5 linked regions of the Cricetulus griseus genome follow. The protein of the gene in region 3 interacts with the protein of the main gene of each other region in a biochemical or structural test. Links are inferred from orthologs where the notes say so. Each region holds a gene or a part of one and is shown on either strand. Other genes may lie near its edges. The genes, in order: beta-actin-like protein 2, Esr1, Ube3a, Ubqln1 and Prkaca.

What was found.
Region 1: the proteins of Ube3a (region 3) and beta-actin-like protein 2 form a complex in vitro, tested with the Homo sapiens proteins (2 studies listed by BioGRID). The link is inferred for Cricetulus griseus from reciprocal best matches to the Homo sapiens genes UBE3A and ACTBL2.
Region 2: the proteins of Ube3a (region 3) and Esr1 form a complex in vitro, tested with the Homo sapiens proteins (2 studies listed by BioGRID, with this or other methods). The link is inferred for Cricetulus griseus from reciprocal best matches to the Homo sapiens genes UBE3A and ESR1.
Region 4: the proteins of Ube3a (region 3) and Ubqln1 form a complex in vitro, tested with the Homo sapiens proteins (2 studies listed by BioGRID, with this or other methods). The link is inferred for Cricetulus griseus from reciprocal best matches to the Homo sapiens genes UBE3A and UBQLN1.
Region 5: the proteins of Ube3a (region 3) and Prkaca form a complex in vitro, tested with the Homo sapiens proteins (2 studies listed by BioGRID, with this or other methods). The link is inferred for Cricetulus griseus from reciprocal best matches to the Homo sapiens genes UBE3A and PRKACA.

What each region holds. Positions count from the first base shown.
Region 1 is NC_048595.1:329,197,589-329,201,745, forward strand, and holds beta-actin-like protein 2, read left to right. Parts: upstream 1-1,722; coding exon 1,723-2,853; downstream 2,854-4,157. UniProt on the Homo sapiens protein: Actins are highly conserved proteins that are involved in various types of cell motility and are ubiquitously expressed in all eukaryotic cells.
Region 2 is NC_048595.1:282,510,771-282,515,472, forward strand, and holds part of Esr1 (estrogen receptor), read left to right. Parts: intron 1-3,606; coding exon 3,607-3,942; intron 3,943-4,702.
Region 3 is NC_048596.1:138,676,749-138,681,450, reverse strand, and holds part of Ube3a (ubiquitin-protein ligase E3A), read left to right. Parts: intron 1-2,473; coding exon 2,474-2,618; intron 2,619-4,127; coding exon 4,128-4,333; intron 4,334-4,702. UniProt on the Homo sapiens protein: E3 ubiquitin-protein ligase which accepts ubiquitin from an E2 ubiquitin-conjugating enzyme in the form of a thioester and transfers it to its substrates.
Region 4 is NC_048596.1:277,234,868-277,240,089, forward strand, and holds the start of Ubqln1 (ubiquilin-1), read right to left. Parts: upstream 3,627-5,222; coding exon 3,471-3,626; intron 1-3,470. Other genes in the region: translation initiation factor IF-2-like, read left to right, coding at 3,625-3,873, 3,917-4,654. UniProt on the Homo sapiens protein: Plays an important role in the regulation of different protein degradation mechanisms and pathways including ubiquitin-proteasome system (UPS), autophagy and endoplasmic reticulum-associated protein degradation (ERAD) pathway.
Region 5 is NC_048596.1:160,435,584-160,440,285, forward strand, and holds part of Prkaca (cAMP-dependent protein kinase catalytic subunit alpha), read right to left. Parts: intron 2,658-4,702; coding exon 2,596-2,657; intron 2,241-2,595; coding exon 2,112-2,240; intron 1-2,111.

The sequences.
Region 1 (4,157 bases), on a different chromosome or scaffold from region 3:
TCTGGCAGTGTGGATTGTAGGCTGGTAATCCTTTACTCTATGTCTAAAATCCACATATGAGTGAGTACATATCATGTTGTCTTTTTGTGACTGGGTTACCTCGCTCCAAATGGTTTCTTCTAGTTCCATTCATTTGCCTGCAAATTTCAAGATTCCATTGTTTTGTTTTGTTTTTTCCACTGAGTAGTACTCCATTGTGTAAATGTTCCATATTTTCTCCACCCATTCTTCAGTAGAGGGGCATCTAGGCTGCTTCCAGTTTCTGGCTATTATAAATAATTCTGCTATGAACATCGTTGACAGATATCCTTGTTGTATGAATGTGCTTCTTTTGGGTATATGCCTTGGAGTGGAATTGCTGGATCTTGTGGTAGACTGATTCCCATTAAGAAACTATGAGCTTTCTTAACTGAAGGCTTCTCAGTTCCTCATGTCCTGTGATCCATCATGACAAGCATTTACCAAGTTGTCTGTGTTTCCACATTAACCACCAAATTCAAATCAACTTCATCCAAAGTGGTCAGGATAATAAATCTTTAAATGAAAAGAAAGTAATGCTGTATCAATTGTGTTGAGTTTAACAACCACAGGCTTGCTGTCATGATAAAATACAAGCACCTTGAAGATCAGGTTTTTTTAAAACATCAATAAGCACTCAGATGCATAATTTAAAATTTTTTATCAATTTGTTTATTGTTATATAATCCAAACTTTTTATAAAAATTCACTGCAAATAAAGAGTTATAATTTGCATTTTATTTTTTATTTGAATTAGAAACAAGATTGATTTACATGACAATCCTAGTTCCCTTCTATAATTTGCATTTTAACTAATAAATCCCTCGAAAACATTGGCATTTTGCCTCTATGCAGTTGACATCCACTTAGTAAACCTATGAGCAATGCCAATGCATAGTAATAAATTTGGGTATTAGAAAATATAAATTATAAAATGTGGTTATTAGACATTTATGTCAGAAAAATATATAGTGGCTTACTTTATTGATTACCCTCTTGATTTTACTTATGCCTGGATGATTTGAAATCAATTAAACAGCTCTACATTTTTTTAAGTCACAAGTACATTCTGATTAAAGCCTTGACCAATCATTATTTTCATTCATTAAAACAGTTTCTATCATTGATGACATCTTGAAGTAATAGGAAATAAAATCTTGGAAAAGTAAAGACAAAAATCAGAGACTCTTCGTATGAACAATATATCAAAACTGAAAAGTCAAAGCTAAATGGGTGCAGAGTACAAGCTCAAGAGAGACGGTCCTTCCAGCAGGGTCACCCTTCCCATCTCTAGCTCTCTTTAATCTTGTGGTTACATTCCCCATTGCATCATGTAGTTATCTAGATACCTTGCCAAGCAGACTGGCAGCCGTGTGTGGGTTGCCTAATTATAGTATACTGAGATTTAGCCACTTGGTAGCCAGTTTTCTCTTTATGAAAGAAGGCCTAGTAATGATTTCTGTAATTATCATAATTATTAATACCTCAAAGGTAGCCCCACCCAGAAATGCTGGGAACTGGTGGGGTAGGAAATGGGTGGGGTCAGTGTGTTCCTTTAAATAGGGTGATCGAGGTACTGGCTTCCTTCTCTGAAGACAGTTCTGAAGTGTTCTCTGGTTATCCATTCTTTCTTGTACATCATAGTCTAGAACTTACCTCTATTCAACTTCAGTTCACCCATCTGGAAAATCCTAGCCAGCAACCATGGTTGATGATGAGCTGTCTGCCTTGGTAGTAGATAATGGGTCGGGAATGTGCAAGGCGGGATTTGGGGGTGATGATGCACCCCGGGCTGTGTTCCCCTCCATGGTGGGGCGTCCCCGACACCAGGGAGTCATGGTTGGCATGGGCCAGAAGGACTGTTATGTGGGAGATGAGGCCCAGAGCAAGCGAGGCATCTTGACCCTGAAGTATCCTATTGAACATGGAGTTGTCACCAACTGGGATGATATGGAGAAGATCTGGTACCACACTTTCTACAACGAGCTGCGTGTAGCGCCAGATGAGCATCCTATTCTTCTCACTGAGGCACCGCTCAACCCCAAGATCAACCGGGAAAAGATGACTCAGATAATGTTCGAGGCTTTCAACACACCTGCCATGTATGTAGCTATCCAAGCTGTGCTGTCCCTCTACGCTTCAGGAAGGACTACGGGTATCGTGATGGATTCTGGGGATGGGGTCACTCACACCGTGCCCATCTATGAAGGCTATGCTCTTCCCCATGCCATTCTACGACTGGATCTGGCAGGCAGAGACCTGACTGATTATCTCATGAAGATCCTGACAGAACGAGGCTATAATTTCACCACCACAGCTGAACGGGAGATTGTGCGGGATGTCAAAGAGAAGCTATGCTATGTAGCCCTGGACTTTGAGCAGGAGATGGTTGCTGCATCTGCTTCATCCTCTCTTGAAAGAAGCTATGAGCTTCCTGATGGGCAGGTGATCACCATTGGGAATGAACGCTTCCGGTGCCCAGAAGCCATTTTCCAGCCTTCCTTTCTAGGCATTGAGTCCAGTGGGATCCATGAGACAACCTTCAACTCCATCATGAAGTGTGATGTGGATATTCGTAAGGATTTATATGCCAATACTGTGCTGTCTGGAGGCAGCACCATGTACCCGGGCATTGCCGACAGGATGCAGAAGGAAATTGTAACCTTGGCACCAAGCACCATGAAAATCAAGATCATAGCTCCCCCAGAACGCAAGTATTCTGTTTGGATTGGGGGTTCCATCCTAGCCAGCCTGTCCACATTCCAGCAGATGTGGATCAGTAAGCAGGAATATGATGAAGCTGGTCCTCCTATTGTACATAGAAAATGCTTCTGAATGAGCCTCCGTGTCCCTTTTTCTAGGTCACAATGACGGTTCCCATCTCACCCAGTAAAGTTAAGGTAAATAGTTTATTTCCTATTAATTGTTCAAGCCAGAAAATCCATGTCTCCTGGGCTATGACAGCTAACCACACTGTGATTTCCATCCACTGAGGGAGTTCTGATATCATATTCTATTTTCTATGCCTGCAGGGCTCAAAGAAATATAGGCTTGCTTATATGAAAATATGTGACAAGGAATAAAGCCATGAGGAATATAATTTCATTGTGAAAAACTACAGTTTCCAAGCTTTAAATCTAGTTCTTGCTAAAATACTCAACAATACTATATACAAGCCTGTAATATAAAAGTTTAGCAACTAGGTCTTATTAAATCTTTTTTATTTGTTTATCTCTTTCTACACAGATATAATGAATTTTACAGGTCAATCATTCTCTATATCCACATATGCATCAGGGGAGTAAAGTGTTACTTCTTAAATTATAATAATGCATTTGGCTGACTGGGCAACTTACGTGAATTTCTTTACTTTCCAGCAGTCAGCATTTTAGTAGCTCTGTATTTCAATTAATTGCCTTATTAAATAAGCATAACTAAATAGTCAACATTTTATTAGTGTATATAAGTCAAATAAATTTTCTAATCAAGGTGCAGCTCCGTTGGTCAAACATATCTTACTATCTTGGTTGCTGGTCTTCATCATACTCATGAAACAGCAAACCTACAGATAATCACTTGCTTTTTACATAGAAAGATATTATTATATCGAGCTAATTTTGTTCTGCTACAGGGGACAGGAATAATTTTACTTACATTTCTTAGCCTAATAGCATGTCTTGAGTAATATCTGTTGGCCTTGATTCTGGATGTTTCTATTATGCAAGGATGTCACTATGGGGAAATATAGCTCCAGTTTCTTTGTAAGCAATAAATCTTAGTAGAAGTTCAGTAACCTCAAGTGTATTCTTGGAAAGATTTTGTTGTAGCTCTTCTTTATTACATCCAGCAACTGGAAATACGTGTTCATGCACATGTCTCTGAGGCAGTAGCTTCTCAAAAAAATATGTGTTTCTTCCTACAATATTTGAGATGTTTTAATGAGCCCAGTGGTGATTTAACAATTAATTTTAGGTGTGACCATATCTTCTTCCATCTATGTTGTGATTTCTGATTATTCAGTTACCAGGGTTATTTGTATTTTCCATGTTTTTAATCTAAAAATGTAAAATATTTATTTGCTTGTGAAGATACTTTCAGATACTTGGGAGGGGGGAAGTTTGGAAACTTCTTTTGTCTAA
Region 2 (4,702 bases), on a different chromosome or scaffold from region 3:
GCTTCCAAACTTAGCTGAAGAGCTGTGGAGATCTCAAATAAAGAGCTTTCTGTGCAAACATGGGGAGTTAGGTTGGGATCCTAAGCACTACGGAATAGCCAGGTGATGTTATGCACACCTGTAACCATAGCACTGAGAGGCAGAGACAGGAGGGTCCCTGAGATAACCCTGAGAGGTGGAGACAGCAGGGTCTCTGGGTTAGCACTGAGAGATGGAAACAGGTGGGTCCCTGGGTTAGACCTGGGGAGATGGAGACAGTAGGGTCCTTGGGTTTGCTTGCCAGCCAAGGTAGGTGAATGAATAAGTTCTAGGTCTAGTGAGAAGGTCTGACTTGAAAACTAAGGTGGAGCATGACTGGGCACACTTGACATTGACCTCAAGCCTCCATGTGGACATACACACTCATGCACTTGCCCATGTACACATGTGTTCACACACAGAAACATCAACATGCTCACACACAAAGTTGTCTGGTGAGTGAAAACTGTACATACATGACAAGAACCATGCACTATTTCAATAAATGGTGTAATATTCACATCAGGGCAATCATCTCCATTTTCTCATAGACTGATCATTTCTCTTTACTGGTTATCTTTTTTTTAAAGCTTTTTTTAGTAATACACAATTGGTTATCATTATCTGGTCACTGCACTTTGCAAAATAACACTGGAATTTATTTCTCCTGTGTGACTGAAAATGAAGCTTAGCCAAATTTACTCTAAGCTTCTCTCACTTTCATTCCTCCTGGCTTCTTAGGATAGGCATTCTGCTCTCAGTGTCTGGACAGCTATTTTGTTTATCCATTTATTTATTTATTTATTTATTTATTTATTTATCCATTCAGCTATTTATTTGTTCACTTATTTTTTGTTTTACATCCCAACTGCAGTTTTCCCTTCCTCCTTTCCTCCTAGTCCTCCCCACCACCTCCCTTCACAGGGTTATTTTATATTACACACGAGTATCTGTTCACCTAACATACTATCTTTCAGCTCTACCCAATTTTTTTTGCCAATGACAGAATATCACTTCTTTTTAATGGCTGAACAGTTTTCTGTGGTGTATATGTACCACATTTTCTTCTTTCATTCATCAGTTTATGGACACTTGCATTGCCTCTCTTTCTTGGGGTACTGTGAACAATGTTGTAATAAACATGGCCATACGAATGTCTCTTCAACATATTGAGTTGGTTTTCTCTGGACATATGGCTGGGAATGAAATTGCTGGGTGAAATAGTAGTTCTATATTTTTAATTTAAAAAGAAAAATTTTTTAAGAATTATTTATATTATGCATATGGATGATTTGTGTGCATGTATGTCCGTACATCATATATATGTCTGGTACCATGGAGGTCAAAAAAGGCATTGGGTCTCCTAAAACTGGAGTTACAGGCAACTATGAGCCACAATGGAGGTCTCTGAGCCAAACCCTGGTCCTCTGTGAGAGCAGCAAGTGTTCTCAGATGCTGAGTCATCTCTCCAGCTCTTCAACTTTTTAAAAAGGAAACTATCTACTATTATTATAGCGAGTGTAGACTTACCACCAGGCAAAGGCATCCTATCATTGAGTTTCTCCATATTCTCATCAATGTTTCTTGTCTTTTGTCTGTTTTATACTTGTCATTCTAACTGGAGTGAGATGGCTTCTCATGGATTTGATTTGCGTTTGTCCCATTTTAGTGATGCTGAACATTTTTTTTTTGGTATCAAATGTTTTACATATGTACACAGCCAACATAAGATCAAAATATACTTTATTCTGGACCTCTTTCAGATCTGATTCAAATTACCGTTGTCAAAGCAATGCAATGCAAAGGGGGAAACTGCAACAACACACACATAAAAAATGTGCCTGGAAAGGGTCAAAAGGTCATTGGGGACAAATCACCATGATGTGGAACCAAAATACATAGCAAGTGTCATTGACATGGTCCAGGAGAGACAGACATCTGTATCAGTCTTCCTTACACAGTCATCATGAAAACTGAACAATAAAGTTCTTTAACGTGTACAAAAACTGTCATGGGCTGGTTTACACTTTACAACAGCTTTAAGGTTACTGGGGAACTAAAGAAAGGATGCAGACATCATCACCCAGTGCTAAGGTATGCTCACAGAATTAGACCCAAAGGATTTCCAAACCCAAATGAAAACATTCTACATAGTGACAATGTCAAAGTCGGGAGACAAAACCATTTCTGTATTTAAGGATGGCAGAGATACACAATGAAGTGTGTAATGAGATGAAAAAGTACACCAGACACAACATGCAGAATGTTTCCTCCAACTTATCCAGAAATTCCAAAGAAAACATGTAACTGCTTGCTAGGTGTTAAAAAAAAAAAAAGCCTAATTATTCACCCGGCTCCAACATGGTCACAGAAGAGCAAAAATAAAGAATGCTATGGACACCTCAGAACTGCTAGAGAAGACATCAGATTCTAAATGAGTGGATTAAAAATGTGAGCACTCCCTTTTTCCCCCTCTTCTACATTCAACTAGAGTCATGTGTTAAACAACTGGTATTAAATGTGACAGACACTTCAGAGCTATTACCGGAAGGAGTAGTTCACATGGTCCCTCTTGCTGACTTCAAACAAAAGGAGGGAATCAAAAACAAACAGAAAACCACCCCCTGGGTCTCTGTAGGCTGGCTGCTAGCCCCCAAATGCTGGCTTTTGCTGGTGTGCCATGATGTTGGTCCACGGAGGCAGGATTTCTGCAGCAACTGTGCCAGTACCACTCTTAACTCGTGGGAATCCAGCTTTTGTGGAAATGATGCTGAACATTTGGCATACTTATTTCTTTTAACCATTATGTCTTTGTTTGAGAAGTATCTCCTTTGGTTGGCTGGCCATTTCTGATTGCATTATTGCTGCTTGAGTTAATTTTTGTGTGTTGATGATTGTTAAATCAGTGTTTCTCTTGGGATTCGGTCATTGGTAGGTCTTACTCCATCATGGTGCTCTACTCCTTCACTACTAAAATTACTGTCAATTTGCTATTAAAGAGTGTCTACAACAGATGCAGTATTTGATATTAAGCTATATTTCATGAGTAACTAACTAATTATTATAATTTTGTTATTTTTATAGCATTTATTGTACACACAGACACATGAACACTTATACACGTATACATACACACATATACACACGTACAAACATGCACAAAAACACATATACACACATATATATATACATACATACAGATACACACATACACAGATACATACATATATGACACACATATACATAAACACACACACATACAATACTAGTGTGTCAGAAACAACTACTATTGGCTCATAAAATCACATTGTTATATTTTCAGGAGTTTGTGTATCTCTAAATATCAGACAAGTGACTTGAAATTTGTTACACTGACATTATTTATCAAATGAATATCATCAATGCCACAAATCAGTGCTGTTCTCTTTTGCCATTTGGAGTGAGAGTTATTAAACACTAGTTTGCATGAGCCTTCCGTATTTATTTTAATAAAATAAAGGGCTATTATCTTTGAAGATGGTGTTTGTACTGAAGTTGACGGGAGAAAAGGGTAATTGAATTTGTTCTTTTATCCTTCTGCATTTTCAGGGATACGAAAAGACCGGAGAGGAGGGAGGATGCTGAAACACAAGCGCCAGAGAGATGACTTGGAAGGCAGAAACGAAATGGGGCCTTCAGGAGACATGAGGGCCGCCAACCTTTGGCCAAGTCCTCTTGTGATTAAGCACACTAAGAAGAACAGCCCTGCCTTGTCCTTGACAGCTGACCAAATGGTCAGTGCCTTGTTGGATGCTGAACCGCCCTTAATCTATTCTGAATATGATCCTTCTAGACCTTTCAGTGAAGCTTCGATGATGGGATTATTGACCAACCTGGCAGACAGGGAGTTGGTTCATATGATCAACTGGGCAAAGAGAGTGCCAGGTAAGAACGCAAAACTCAACGTCTGTTTTAAGAGTGAATGACTCAAGAACTGGCTGTGATACTGTGTGGGGAGGGGAGAAAATAACAGCGTGCGATGTGGTTGGTGTCAGTGCTACATCGGGGCTTGCCAATTGTCAGTGTTAACCCACTGTATTTCTCTTGAAACTTGAGAGTAGCCTTTAAAATCAACACCAAGAACAATAAAGCCTTCGACATAGTATTTCTGGCCAGTTTTCTCTGCTCAGAAGAGTTGGATAGATACTACATACTGCATGCACACATGTGTCTGTCATGCAGAAATCACATTTTAAAAGTGCTTAATGCTCAGTGATCTATGGAATTGTTTTGATTTCTAAGACTATCATTGAAAATGCCTCTATTGAGGAGAATTTTTCCCATAAATAATCTATTCTTCAGATGTTGTGCACTAAAGGGCTAATAATAGGCTTATTTGTGGAATGCCAATTATTTATTCATTTTGCTTTATGCATCCTATGTTCAGAGAAAAGGAAATACAATAGGAAAATAAACACAAGCAATGCCCTGAGGAGCTGCTAGAAAGATCCAGAGGCTGAAGTGACACTCTGTTCATCCTATTGGTCTCTCAAGTGCTGTTTCTAAAGCTCTTGACTGGTCTCCTTTATGGAGAAGGACTCTAGTTATGATGGGAACAAGCCTCTCCCATGCCCCAACTAATGGATTTCGTATACAGAAGCCTAGGCTGAGGCAAAAAGAGGTGGACTCTCTTGTATGGCTTATA
Region 3 (4,702 bases):
ATAAAGTTATGAATTTTAAGAAATAGTACTATATTTTTAAAGGATAATATTAGTTCTTACCAATTGTGCATGCTTTATAGAAATTATATATTCCTAAGCTTTTACCATCTTCTAGTAGGAAGAGTATTATCTCCTCTTTTCTTTGTACATTAGAAAGTTGGCTTGATGTACTAAAACTTAATAATTAAATGTTAATCTTTAGTGACAGGGTCTGTAAAGAGTATTTGGTTTCTTATATGTTCAGAAACAAAATATAGCCTCAAAAATAAATTTTCAATAAAAACTGATCTGAAAATAATGTTGTGAGCTTTGAGGGTAGATTAGTTATTAGAGCACTTTCAAGTAGACCCGAGTTTAATCCCCAAAACCCTGTTTAAAAAAAGGAAAATTGAGTGGGCATTGTAATCCTGTTGCTAGGTAGTCCGGTATTGGCACCCTGACTGTCAGTACAGCCTATTCTGATCTTCAGTCCTTCATTGACAAGCAAGGTGAACAGGTCCTGAGGAATAACAGCTGAGGTGTAATCACCCATGTGTGTCTACACCCATGAAGACATACAAATGAGTTAAACAAGACCAAGAGAGAGATAATTAGAAAAATAAATTCATAGTATCCTAGACCCCCAAAGTTGAAGATATTCAGGAAGTAATTTGAACCATTTGCTTTTTTTTTTTTTTTTTCCTTCAAAAAGTTTTGGCTGCATCCCCTACTAAGAAAAAAAAATATAGTATCCTAAATAAAATATATATCTGTATATTGAAATTTATCTGGCTAAAAACAGTAGGTACAATTAGATGTGGTGGTGGTTTTTTGTTTTTGTTTGCTTTTTATTTCCTACTGGTTGCAAACTATTGCAGCTAGCAGTTTTAAAAACTTAGATCTAGGGTATCTCTGCCAGATTCTTAAATTTATGAGATTCTACTTTTATTTTTTATAGACACTTAGGATACCAAAAACTATTGTTGCTTATGGCATTTGCTTTAAGGAGCTAGTATACTTATTCCAGTGCCATTTACATTCTTTAAGCCTATTTTTTTTTTTTTTAAGATTTTATTTATTTCCGTATACAATGTTCTTCCTGGCGCCTGAAGAGGGCGCCAGATCTCATTATAGATGGTTATGAGACACCATGTGGTTGCTGGGAATTGAACTCAGGTCCTTTGGAAGAACAGTCAGTGCTCTTAACCTCTGAGCTATCTCTCCTGCCCTCTTCAAGCCTATTTTAAAAGTTCCTTTTGGAATAGTTAAGAAAAACTTTAACATCCTTAAATATTGTTTTGTCATTTTTTTAAGCCAACGGGTGTTTGGAAACAATATTGAAAATAAATTGGATAATTAGTTATGAATACTATATGCAAAGTTGAAATAGGAGAACCAAATTACATTTTAAACCCAACACATTAGGATTTAATATTAATTTCTAATGGACTGAAGTTAATACTAGTGGAACAGGTTTGGCTAATTGTTAGATAAAGAAAAAAAGATAGCAAGTGTATGTTTCACCTGCCTTTGTGAAAATGTGGATGTTGTATGGGACATTATAATCCACTGAGAAGTGGCAATAAGTATAAATTTGTTTTGGCAGAGGGGAATTGTGTTAACAACAGAGACTTGATATGTATTCCAAGATTTCCTAGAACTTAGGATTTTCCTGTTTCATAGGCCTGAACTACCACATCTGGCTTTCGAATGTATATTTCTTAATTGAAGTTATTTCACTTATAACATGGCAGTTAGGAAGGCTTAACTCTACATTTCCCTTCCAATAAATGTAAATTATTCATAGATCCACTATATACTTTCTACTAGTAAACAATGTATAGGTCACATTTCTATGCTTTCTTTTGCTAAAATGACAATATGAGTAGTCAATTAGGCATTTTGTTGCCTCAATTTGTTCTCATATCTTGTTCTATATACTATATTAATTTATTATATAAAATATAATAGAAAATTTAGTTACCAAGTTAGAAGTAACCATTTTATGTATGGTGGTTTTGTGTGTATGTGTTGTGTGGTTTATGTTTGTGGTTCATGCATATGAATGTGCTGATGTGTGTACTCATGTGTGAACATCTGGAGACCAGTCTGTGATGACAGGTGTCTTCCACTTTTAGATAATAAGATATCTGAGTGAACTGGAAGCTCACCATTTTGTCTAGGCTGGCTAACTAGCAATCCTGAGAGTTGTGGCCTTTTCCCCACCATGTTGCAGGTATTAAGTAGTGTTGAAGGCACGAATGGTCATAATGCTAGGGATTCCAGCTGAGGTTTTAATGCTTGCAGATAAAGTGCTTTTACCTAATGAGCCATGTCCCTAGCACTCTGCCATACTCTTTTGGGGGGTCAGTTTGCTTCTTGTTTCCATTGAGAAACAAGATTGTTTCCTGTTAATAGTCCTTGTTTTCTTCTACTTGCATGTAGCTTTTATCCTATTATAATTGGTCCTCTTCTTTATCTTTTCATTGAACAGCTGGAGATGATTGCTATGGAAAATCCTGCAGACTTGAAGAAGCAGTTGTATGTGGAATTTGAAGGAGAGCAAGGAGTGGATGAAGGAGGTGTTTCCAAAGAATTTTTTCAGTTGGTTGTGGAGGAAATCTTTAATCCAGATATTGGTAAGTGTTAGTGATATGATGATGACATGTTAGTCTTTTGAATTATGAACTTGGTTTTATGAAGATTCTCAGCTATGATGAACAGCAAAAGAATTGGATATGGCTTACTTGTAATTATAGATAACAAATGTGTATGCTTCAGGAACTGATCTGTCTACTGCTGTATTTACCTTATTTCTTAGATTAATTAACCAAATATTCTGGTAGATGACAATTACCTTTTTGGTAAATTTAATTTGGAAAACCTTGGAATGGAGGATTGGAAGCTACTGAAGGCATGAGAATAATGGCTTATGAATTTTAGACACTGGATAATTTATAGCTTATTGTTCTTGTAACCAAAATCATCCATTTGTGACATTCTATCCCACTTACTGCTTGTCAATTGGAGTTTTTGATACTCTGTGGATCTATAACTTGGCTTGCAAATAAATAACCATACATGTATACATATTTTTCAAACTGTAGAACTCAAATATGAGTTGGATAATTTTAAAACGAGTATTTCACAAATATTAAATTGCAAAAAGAAGTATAGAGGTCAAAGAGAAAATTGTATTTTTCTTTTCATTAAAACTGAAAATGAAAAGTTTTAAATCTTTTCAAAATGAACTTAGAAGCACATTTTAATGCTGTTTTATTTGGTTTTGAGAAATGTTCCATTAGGTTAAAAGTTTCTTTGCCCAAGCCTTCTTTGATTTGTTTACTTTGTTCTTGGTTTTGGTTTTGTGGACAGTCTTTTTATATTGTATTCGTGCATTCTGGCCTTAAACTCATGACCCACCTGCCTCATTCTTCCAAGTGCTAAGGTGTGCAATCCCCTCTCCCCCAGCATATTAAACCTTAATTTACAAGTGTTTCCTGAGAGGCAACTGAAAATGAATTTAGAAAAATTAAAACGCATATGGATTTATTTAAAATATTTTTGTATTTAATGTTCAGTGAAAAAAGAAGACAAATCTATTTCTGCTCCCTTAGATGAAATAATGATATGAAAAAATGTCTTTGAAGTTAGATCTTGAATAATGGTGATTATGTAAAGATGAAATATTACAAATTTGGTTTTTAAAACTATTAGCTCACATTAGCTATGTATCTTAAGTAACTGGAAGTTAATCAACTTTATCTAATTCTTGTACTTGATCATGAGTTTGCTTCTTATGTACTTTTCAGTCATCTGAGTGGCTAAAATATGACTGTAAATTAACCTTTCATTAGTCAATGAAAATTGATAAGCCTTGAATAACCTAATAAAACTTTTTAAAAATACCTTTCCAGGAATGTCACCCAAATTTCATATTTTGTTTTGTTGGCTTCTTAGAGTTGTATACCACTAGTTAATACACTTAATGATAATCAGTTACTATATTTGTACAGTTTTCTCACATGCATGCAATAGCAAAAACATATCTACTATATTAAAATTCTTTTGTCTTATTTTGTTTAAAATTATTTTTAAATTTTTAGATTTTCAAAAATACAAATTATTTTAAAACTTATTTTTTATAGGTATGTTCACATATGATGAAGCCACAAAATTATTTTGGTTTAATCCATCTTCCTTTGAAACCGAGGGTCAGTTTACTCTGATTGGCATAGTCCTCGGTCTGGCTATTTACAATAACTGTATACTGGATGTCCACTTTCCCATGGTTGTCTACAGGAAGCTAATGGGGAAAAAAGGAACCTTTCGTGACTTGGGAGATTCTCACCCAGTAAGTTCTTTGTCATTCTTTAAATAGTCTCTGAGATACTATCTAAATACAGAAATACATCTTAATTTATATAAAAATATCTTTTTGTTTGGAATCTTTTGTCAATACCTACTGCTACCCAATGTGGTAAAAAATTTTTTAATCTGTTTTAAGTATAATGAACACTTAAATTTTTAAAGAGTGTTGTTTTTATAGATTGCATCAAGCAACTTTTGATTGACTATATAGTGAAATTTGTAAACATTCTCTTTTCAATATAAACTTGTAAGTCTGCCTGGTAAATGAGCATTGCCTCCTTCTCCTTGATAGATACAGCTGCAAAGTTTGATACAGTATCAGTGACCTTTTTCTTTTTTTCTTTTTTTTGTC
Region 4 (5,222 bases), about 140 Mb from region 3:
TCTACACCCAAGAAAAATGAAACCATATGTCTACAAAAACAAAACAAAACAAAACACATGTATCATAAGTGTTCAGAGACATTATTCACAACAAAAAACAGAAACTTACATGATCAATAAGTAATGAAGAAATAAGATGTGGTACACATCCATATAGTGGCATATTACTGAGCAATATATAGGAAATACTTGGGGCAATTTTGAGATAGTTCAGAAGGTAAAGGTATTTACCATCACACCTGGTGTCATGACTTCAGTCCTTACGACCTACACATTACCTTCTAATCGCCACACACACATTACACATATGGAGAGTAAATAAGGCTCTACAGGGAGCACTTGCTTCAAAAACTAAAACAAGGATGCCCGGTGATGGTGGTGGTGGCAGCAGCACACGCTTTTAATCCCAGCACTCAGGAGGCAGAGGCAGGCGGATCTCTGAGTTCGAGACCAGCCTGGTCTACAGAGCAAGTGCCAGGATAGGCTCCAAAGCTACACAGAGAAACCCTGTTTCGAAAAACAAACAAAAACAAACAAACAAAAAACCCAAACAAAAAAAGTGTGATTTGCCTAACAGCATAAGCTTTCAATATTCTTTTTTTCCTACCCCCTCACAGGTTAAGAATTTTCAGAATCAAGTATTTCCCAACATCAGCCTGCCATTTGAGAGGATGTGGAGTGCACTGGGGACTCAGTCAGGGCCTCCTGTATCTGAACCACACGCTCCACCACTGAACCCTAACCCCAGCCCCACTCACAATCACTAAGCATTTTTAAAGGCAATCTTATTGCCACCAAATACTACTCATCAACAAACTTTAATCTGTAGTAAATATCAAACCTACTAAATTCTATAAGAAAAATTAAGTTACAAAATGGTAGACCTTGTCTTGTGCTACAAATAGTTTTATATTTTTTTTGTACATGTTTCTAAGTCTGCTCCCCTGACTCACTCAGCAGTTTGATGTGTTTTCCGTTTGTGGTACAGGGGTAAGCTTTCAACTTTCATCACATTTTCTGTTTCCACAGAAAACAGAGAAAGCTTTAAACATTAAGCAATATCAGAGTAAGTTACTTTAGGAAGGTTTTACTTTTACCCATTAAATCATTTTTAGTTACAGCATAGTGAAATATAAACTTCTACGGAATTTAAAACTTTAGTGTCACTCTTTAAAAAAAAATCTTACAAATCTTCACATAAATAATTTTTTCATTTATTATATTTCTAAAGTCCTGAAATAAAATGGGGAAGCTGTCAGGATGGAAATTTAAGCTGGGAATCTTAGACTCAAGAGCTTCATGATTTATTATCGCTACACATTCATTAAACAGCTACAATAAAAAATAAAAACAAACAAACAAAAAAACCTTGTACATAGCAAATATTAGCAAGGATACAGAACAAGAGAAATACACACCCATATGCTGTTGGTTGTGTCTTATAAAACTAAACAGAACTGGCCAGATGAGGTGGCGCAAGCCCTCAATCCATCCCAGCACTTGTGAGATCCAAGTCAGCCTGGTCTACAAAGCAAGTTCCAGGACAGCTGGGGCTACATAATGAAACACTGTCTCAAAATAAAACAAACAAAATAGCAGGGCATGCTGGCACAGGCCTTTAATCCCAGCACTAGGGAGGCAGAGGCAAGTGGATCTCTGAGCTGGACTATAGAGTTCCAGGACACCCAAGGCTGTTTCACAGAGAAACTCTTGTCTTGAAAAACCAAAACAGCACCACAACAAAACTCAAAAAGTAAACAGAAGCATTCTAATGCAGATAAAGGCATATATTGTCAAAATGATTTATATGCGACTGTTCACAGCAACTACAATTGAGAAAGACCCTGGACAGTAGATTGTGGCATATGCATGCTATGGAAAACCACAGAGCAGTTAGGTACTGAGCTGGGGACATGGGTCAGTGGTAGAGTGGAGCCTGTGCCTAGTATGCAAACATCTGGGGTGGGAGGGGTACAAACATTCACAAGGATGAATCTCAAAAATATGCTGAAGAGGGAAAGAAAAAAAGTCTTTCCCAAAAGATTTCATTATATACAACTCTGCGTATGTGAACTTCTGGACAGGCAAAATCAATCTCTGGTGGGGGAAAAAAAAATCCCCACGGGGGTGACAAAGAGTGACTTCTTTAAAGAGAAGGTGAGACAAAAGCTTTCAAGTCAGCTCTAACAGGCCACACCTAGTTGTGTGCTTGGCTGGCACAGGTGTAGATGGGTTTGTGAAAACTGGCTAAGGCACCCACGTGCACATCAAATTTATGTGGAATAAATTTCCACAACAGTGGTTTTCAAGTTAACTAACACGCACACGGCTTACGTGCCTTGTAAGGTGATACCGATATCGGTATTTACACCTTAAAAATGTATTTTAGAAATAAGGGACGCATAACACAGCAAGTGCAGGAAAATGTCAATCGTGGGTGAGGCACACACATGCTGGAAAACACAAAGACGTTCAACCTTTTACAGCAGCGTTAACAAGGAATGGTGATTCAGTCAACAGTAGTTCCCTCAGCTGATGCCACACACCCTCCTGTTTCACAAAAAAAAAACAAAAACAAAAAAAAAAAAAAAAAACGACTTCACCTTTGGAACTAGATAAACGTTCAGAGAACCTAAAGGCACATTCCAGTGCCTGTTAATTGCGTCCTCGCACAAAACCGTCCACGATGTTGAGACTGTCAACAATCCGAGTGCTCTAGAACGTGCTAAACAGATAAATCTGCTAACTTTTACCAGGGGCTCTTAATTAGCTGCAAAATTTGCTTTCCCTGAACGGGATTTAAAGCGATTATTTGTTTAGTAAGACTCCCCGTTAACACCAATTCTGTTTTCTTGCGTCCGGCGGCAACCACCTAACACCCCGGCAGGTAGGTATGGCTCTCGTCCCCCTGGAGTCGAACAATAACCTGCCCCGTGACGGGCGGGCGAGCCGGCGAGCGGGCGAGCGGCTGGGCGATGACGAAGGTTATTGAGACAGAAACAGCGAGTCGTCCGTGAATCAAAGTCTTTGACTTTTCTCCCTCGGGCGTGAGCTTATCACCAGGCTGACTGAAAGCGATCTCCACGTCACAATTTTAAATATATATGTATATATATAATAGCGTATATATAATAAAAGGCTGAAAGGTGTGGGGGGGACACACAACACAGAACGCAGCCTGCACGTGCTCCTCACCCCCAAATCTCTGCGATTCGCCGGCAGGTGAAACAATGACCCCCACCGGGCCCCGCCCGCCTCACCTCACCGCCCCGCCGCCCCGCCAGCCGGGCCACAGAGGCCGAGCGAGCGCCGCCCGCGCCCTGCCCGCCCGCTCCTTTGTCAGGAGCCGAGGCCCGGAGCTCGGCGGCCGCCGCTCGCCCTCCCCCGGCCCCGCAGAGCCCCGCAGAGCCCCGCAGGGCCGGGCCCGGCCGCCCTCCCCGCCCCGGCGCCCCGGCGCCCCGGGGCCTCACCTGCTGGACCGAGCTGTCCTCGGGCACAGCGAACTCCTCCTTCTCCTTGGGCGTCTTCACCGTGACCTTCATGATCTTGGGCTCCGCGGGGCCGCCGTCGGCCGCGGCTGCGTCCTGCGCGCCCGGGGGGCCGCCGCTCTCGGCGCTCTCGGCCATGGCGGTGACTCAGGCGACCGGGACCCTGCGGGCTGCGGCCGGCTCGGCGCGGCGCGGCGGAGCGGAGCGGGCACGGGCTGCGGCGGGGCCGCCGAGGGCGCGCGGGCACGGGCTGCGGTGCGGTGCGGTGCGGTGCGGGCCCGGGCGGGCGATCGATGGCTCGGCTGCCGTCTCCGCGTCGCCGCGCCGCCGCCGCCGCCGCCGCTTCCTCCTCCCGCACCTCCCCCACGTCCGTCGCCGGCGCCGCGCAGGGCACGCTGGGTAACGCGCTGGCCGCCGCGCCGACTCAGGGGCGCGGGGCACGCCGGGAAGCCGAGTCCTCGCCCGCCTCACGCCTGCCGCCGCCGCGCGCCGCCGCCGGGCTGACGAGGGGCGCGGGCTCCTCCGGCTCCAAGGCAGCCGCGGCGGCGGCAGGGGGAAGGGGACAGCGAGTTAACTCGGTTCGCTTCATCGCCCCCGCTGCGTCGGGAGCCGCTCCCCGGGGTCTCTGCGGGGCGCCGCCGCGGCGCCCTGAAATGACGTCACGGCCGGCGGCGAACTTGCTGGAAGCGGCCTGGCCCGCTGGGCCTGCGCTCCCGGTGTCCCCCGACCCGGCCCCGGTGGCCGGCGGCCCGCGCGGGCACTTGGTTCTGAGGAGCGCAGCGTGTGCCCGGGCGGAAGGGGCTGGGGCCGCCCGCCCGGCTCTGGGCCCCGCTGGAGCTGCGCCACCGCGGGCGGGCGCGGAGACGGGAACGGACGCGGGGCAGCGCCAGCGCCAGCGCCAGCGCGGGGCCCACAGCCCGCAGGCGTGGGTGCAGGGAGGCCGCGGCCCCGTCCCCGGAGCCAGGCCGGACACACGGCCGCCCTGCTCCGCCTTCCACGCTGTGCGCGGCAGACGCGGGTGCCCAGGGCGGGCCGCTCCACGGGTGGGCTGCAGCCTGGGGCTCGTGTGCGCCTCCAGGACGCGGTCCAAAGTTACTGCGCCCCCCCCCCCCCAGGCCCGAGGTGCCCTCCGGGGTAACCCCAGTGGAGAACGTAGGTCCAGTTAAGTTATTTCCGTTTCAGCCGTGACCCCCACGCCATCCATAACTTGCGATACATTGTGGCACTTGGCACACTAGCTGGTGCTGCACCAAGGTGAGCGCTGACAGAGCACCGTGACCCAAATACGCAAAGACATCCCATATTTTTGCTCTTAGGCCATCGAACCCTTTTCCGTGATTAACTGCTGTTGCATAAACACGTCTTAGCAGAGCCCTTTGAAATCTGGGTCAGAGTTGCGGCGGCGGTGTAAATTGCAAGACGAGGTATCGGTGGATATCACTTAGTGCCTGCCAGCATTGTTCAGCGACAGGAAGCGTTTACAAGGCCTATGTCTAGGTACGAGACGATCGCTTACTTCTTGGGGGTAGGAAGTTCCACCGTTGGGCAAGCAAGTATTTTGGACATTTCTTCTGTATATTTAAGTAAAATCTCTCCCCAACTTCATTAGCTCCCTGTTCTCATCTGGTTTTCCTTCATGCAGTATTTTCCCAGGCTGCCTTTCAGCCTACAGTGACCTCCCTTCCCTTCCCATTTCTTTACTCTTACGTCGCATTCCCCTGGAAGTCTTTACTC
Region 5 (4,702 bases), about 22 Mb from region 3:
TGAGCCTAGCCTGGCTTACAGTGTGAGTTCCAGGACAGCCAAAGCTACACAGAGAAACCCTGTCTCAAAAAAACTTAATGATGACGATAACGATAATAATAATAAATGTGGGGAGTGACTGAAGAAGAGACCCAGTATAGATATTGTATCCCTACCTTGCACTTGCATACACAGATACAAAAATACACACTCATGCACACACGGTCTTTATGAAAAGCTGCATATGGTGGCACACACCTGTCACCTCAGGACTCTAGAAGCAGAGGCAGGAGGATCTCAAGTTTGAAGCCAGCCTGTGCTACATAGCGAGACCCCATTTCCAAACAACGGTTTTGGTTATTTTGAGGCAAGGTCTCATACAGCCAGGATGGCAATGCACTTGCTATGAGGATGACCTTGACTTCCTCATCCTCCTCCACCTCCCCTCCTAAGTGCTGGGATATTCCACCGCACACAGCTTCAAAATGAATGTTTTTGTGTGTCTATGTCTGTGTAAGCATTCATGCATGCTCACATATGTAGAGGATGGAAGTTGACAATGGGTAGTTTCCTCAATCATGCCCTGTCTCTTTTTTTCTTTCTAAGAAAATCTTGGCCAAGTGGTGGTGGCACACGAATTTAATCTCAGCACTCCAGTGGCAGAGGCAGGTGGATCTCTGTGTTCAAAGACAGCCAGGGCTACACAGAGAAACCCGGTCTCAAAAAATAAAAATATTGCGTGTGTTTGTGTGAGTCCAGGTGTGTCAGAAGACAAACGCAGGTGTATGTCCTTGCCTTCCATCTTGTTTAATGGTAGGATCCTTTCTACTGCTGCATATGGCAGGCTGGATGCCCTGAGCTCCCAGGGACTCTCACAGTAGGGGTGCTGACACAGACAAAGCTGCTGTGCTGCGCTTTGGGGACTGAACTCATGCTTGCCTGAGAGGTGACGACTTATCCACTAGGCTATCTCTTCAGCTCTCCCACTCATTAAGTTTTTTTTGTTTGTTTCTTTAAACTCACTTATTGTATGTGTGTGTAGATGCATAGTTGTACCATGACATACTTGTAGAGGTCAGAGGACACTTGATCTTGGTCAAAAGACAACTTGTAGAAGTGGTTTTCTCCTTCTACCATGTGGGTTCTGGGGACTGAACTAAAGTCACCATGCTTGGTGGCAAGTGCCTTTAACTCACCAAGCCTTCTCTTCATTCCCATGTCTACCTCATTGTTTTGATATAGTTGGCCAACAAGTCCCCCGCAACACTAAAATTAATAAGTTTAAAAAAAATTTTAAGAGCTTTTGTGTAAACTGGGCAATGGTGGTACATGCCTTTAATCCAGCACTGAGGAGACAGGCAGGCAAATCTCTGTCAGTTCAAGGCTAGCCTGGCCTACAAAGTGCTATACAGAGAAACCCTAAATTGAAAAACAAAAACAAAAACAAAAAACCCAAAAAAACTTCTATATAAACCTTACTTTCTCCAAGAACACCCTGGTCACCTCTGACCAGCTGTATGTTTTTGTGGGGGTGGCCTTGTGAAGTGGTACACACCCTCCTGACCCTTGGGTCTGACAGACTGTGAAGGATCAGGGGGACTTGCATGTGGCTTAGTACTCACGGGGACAGGTTCAAAGACACTACTGAGCACAGATGGCAAAGTTTGCAGAGCTCTGGCCTGTGTGTGCAGCAACACTGTGAACCTCACATCAGTTCCCACTTATTTCATCTTTTGCTGAGGTAAGGATGGACCCAAGGGCCCTGAGAGTTTGGTCAAGTGCTCTGCCTCTAAGCTGCACCCCAGCAGTAGACATTAAACCACCAGTGAAAACTTACAATGCCTTACTTACAATGAAAATGAACTTACAATGAAAAGATGCACACAATCCCTTCACTTCCAGGGACTCAGCACAGTATTTTGCGTCTGGCAAGGCAAAGCTGCCACTGGACCTTTCTAACCCAAGGTGCAGGGGAGGGCTGCATTGCTGATTCACAGCTGATTGGTTCTATTATTTGGCAGCTGGTGAGTGGTGAATGAATGGGCAGCAAAGCCATGTGGGCAGGGGTGGGCTTGGCATGGGGTCTGGGTGGACAGCAGTGGGAAAGCCTGATTGGTAGCTGATTATCTTACCTTCTGTTTGTCCAAGATCTTCATGGCATAGTGGTTCCCAGTCTCCTTGTGCTTCACGAGCATCACTCGCCCAAAGGAGCCAGTGCCAAGTGTCTTGATTCTATCAAAGTGATCCAACTGGGCTGTATTCTGTGGGCAGGGATAGGAGAGGTCAGAAGCACCTCTGCAGATTTCTGGGTTGTGGAGTCCCCTATGTCACCGGCAGAGGGGGCCCTGGGGAGTGGGTGGAGATGACCCAGGGGACATTCTTCCAGGCAGGATGGCAGGGGCCAGATCCGGCCCTGGCCTGGGGCCCAGGAGTTGCTGGCAGCTGCATGGGGAGCGGGGGCTGCCAGGTGCAAGGGTTCAGTGGGGTGGGGGCCCAGAGATGAGAAGCAGGAGTCACCGTGGGCATGTCAGAAGGGAATGGGGCAGAGCTGGGAAGGGAACACAGGGACAGAGCTAGGCAGTGTCCCCTGGGAACTGTTCAGTCTGAGGTGCTTACCTGAGAAGGGCTCTCCCATTTTTTCAGGAATTCTTCCTTGGCCTTGGCTAGGAACTCTTTCACTGAGGGAGAGAGAGGAAGTTATGTTTCAAGGCACATCAAGTTTTTGCACTCTGGTGGTTAGTGGGGACAGCTGTCTCAAGCCAGAGTCCAGTATTTTCCCAGTGTCTTTGGGGGATCCTAGAGGCAATTTAGGGTGATTGGGCTGGGCCCTGAGTACCCCTTTAATTACAGAGGTGGGTCCCAGATTCCGGTCATTCCTAAATAGGGTTCATGGAGACTCAGGGGCACACAGGACCAAGAGGCACACGGGCCAGCCCACCCCACTCTCCCTAGCACTAACAGACATTCCTTGGCCAGGGCTGTGCCAGCTGAGGTATTTATAGCCTCTGATCTGGCTGCTTGTCTGTTGAGGCCAGGCCCTGGTGGAGGCCTGTAGGGCTAGTGTAGCAGGCACCCTTGGGGGGGCTCAGCTGTCACCTTAGCCCCCACTGGTTCTGTGCCTGCCTTTGCTGAGGGAAGAGCTCTCACCCCTGAACTGCTTTACTGGGTACCTCCCTTCAGGCACACTCCACCCTGGTGCCTGCAGCATCCTGAGGCCAGCATCTCATTTACCAATGTAGAAGCTGCCCCTGGTGTCTGGCTGGGGCACCCACTTCATCAACACACTTATGTGATCTGAATGACAACCTTCCTTATATGTATCTGTTTTACCCTATTAATAACCAGGAAAACAAGGCCTGGAGACAGTTCACTGTTAGGTATAGCCACCGTGAGGCAGCTAGGGGACAAGACTTCAGGGTAGTGGTTCAGAGTCTGGTCAGTCACGGGCTGTGTGTCTTTGGACAACTGATCTCATCTTTCTAAGTCTCAATTTTCCACACGAGCAACGGGGATAAAGCAATGATGATCTTGTAGGGTGGTAGTGGTGGGAGAAGTCCACCCAGGCAAAGGGTACTGGACAGCAGCCTGGCACAAGGTTTATGGTACAGAAATGCCAGCTATTCCCTCTGTGATGGTTAACCTTAGTTGGCTATTTAACTATATATGGAGTCCTCTAAAACCCCAGCATCTGGATACACGTATAAGGGGTTTCTTTATTAGATCATCTGAAGTGGGAAGACCCACCATACACCTGGCCACATCCTCTGGCAATAGGCTACAGAAAAGGACATGGAAGAAGGAAATTTTGCTTTTTGCCTGCTTGCCCTCACTTGCACTGGCAAGTTCATCTGTCATATTGCTGAGGCATTCCTGTGCTGGCGTTAGAACCTATTTCTTCAGAATTTCAGTGTAGACTAAGAAAGAGCAGCTGTCCAGAAATCTTCCAGAACTCCAGCAATAGATTAGGACTGCTGAGATAATCCAGTCTTAGGCCTGGACAACTACCCAAACCACAGCCTGTAAGACACTCTAATAATTCCCACATATAAATATTCATTCTGTCAGTTCTGTTCCTTTAGAGAACTACGGCTAATACTCTCTCTTGATTTTTTTTTTTTTTTTTCCCTTTGAGACAGGCTGTCTCTCTACATAGCCATGGCTGTCCTGGAACTCACTATGTAGACCGGATTAGCTTCAAACTCACAGAGATCCACCTCTGTTCCTACCTGACTCTTGAGTGCTAAGATTAAAGGCATGCACCACCACACCCAGGTCCTCTCTTGATTTTCTGAGACAAGATCTTATATTGTAGCCCAGTATGACATGGAACTCACTATGTAGCCCAGGATGGCCTTGAGCTCAGAGCAATCCTCCTGACTCCCTAGTAGTGAGATAGGTCAGGGCACAGGGAGAACAGTACCAAGAAAACAGGCTTGGAGCAATGGCACAGAATTATAAGATCAAGACTTTGGGAGCTGAGGTAGGACTCTGAGTTCAAAGCCAGCCTAGGGCATATAGCAAGAACCTGTATCAAAGGAGTATAGACTGCAGCTGTAGCTTAGCAGCAGAGCACTTGCCAGGATTCACAAGGCCTTGTTCCACCCCAAGCATGACAACACAAAAGAATAAGCTCATCTGTAATCCCAGAACTAGGAGGCTAAGACAGGAGGATCTCGAGTAGAAGGCAGAGCTCTCAAAAAACAAACAACAACAAAACAAAAAC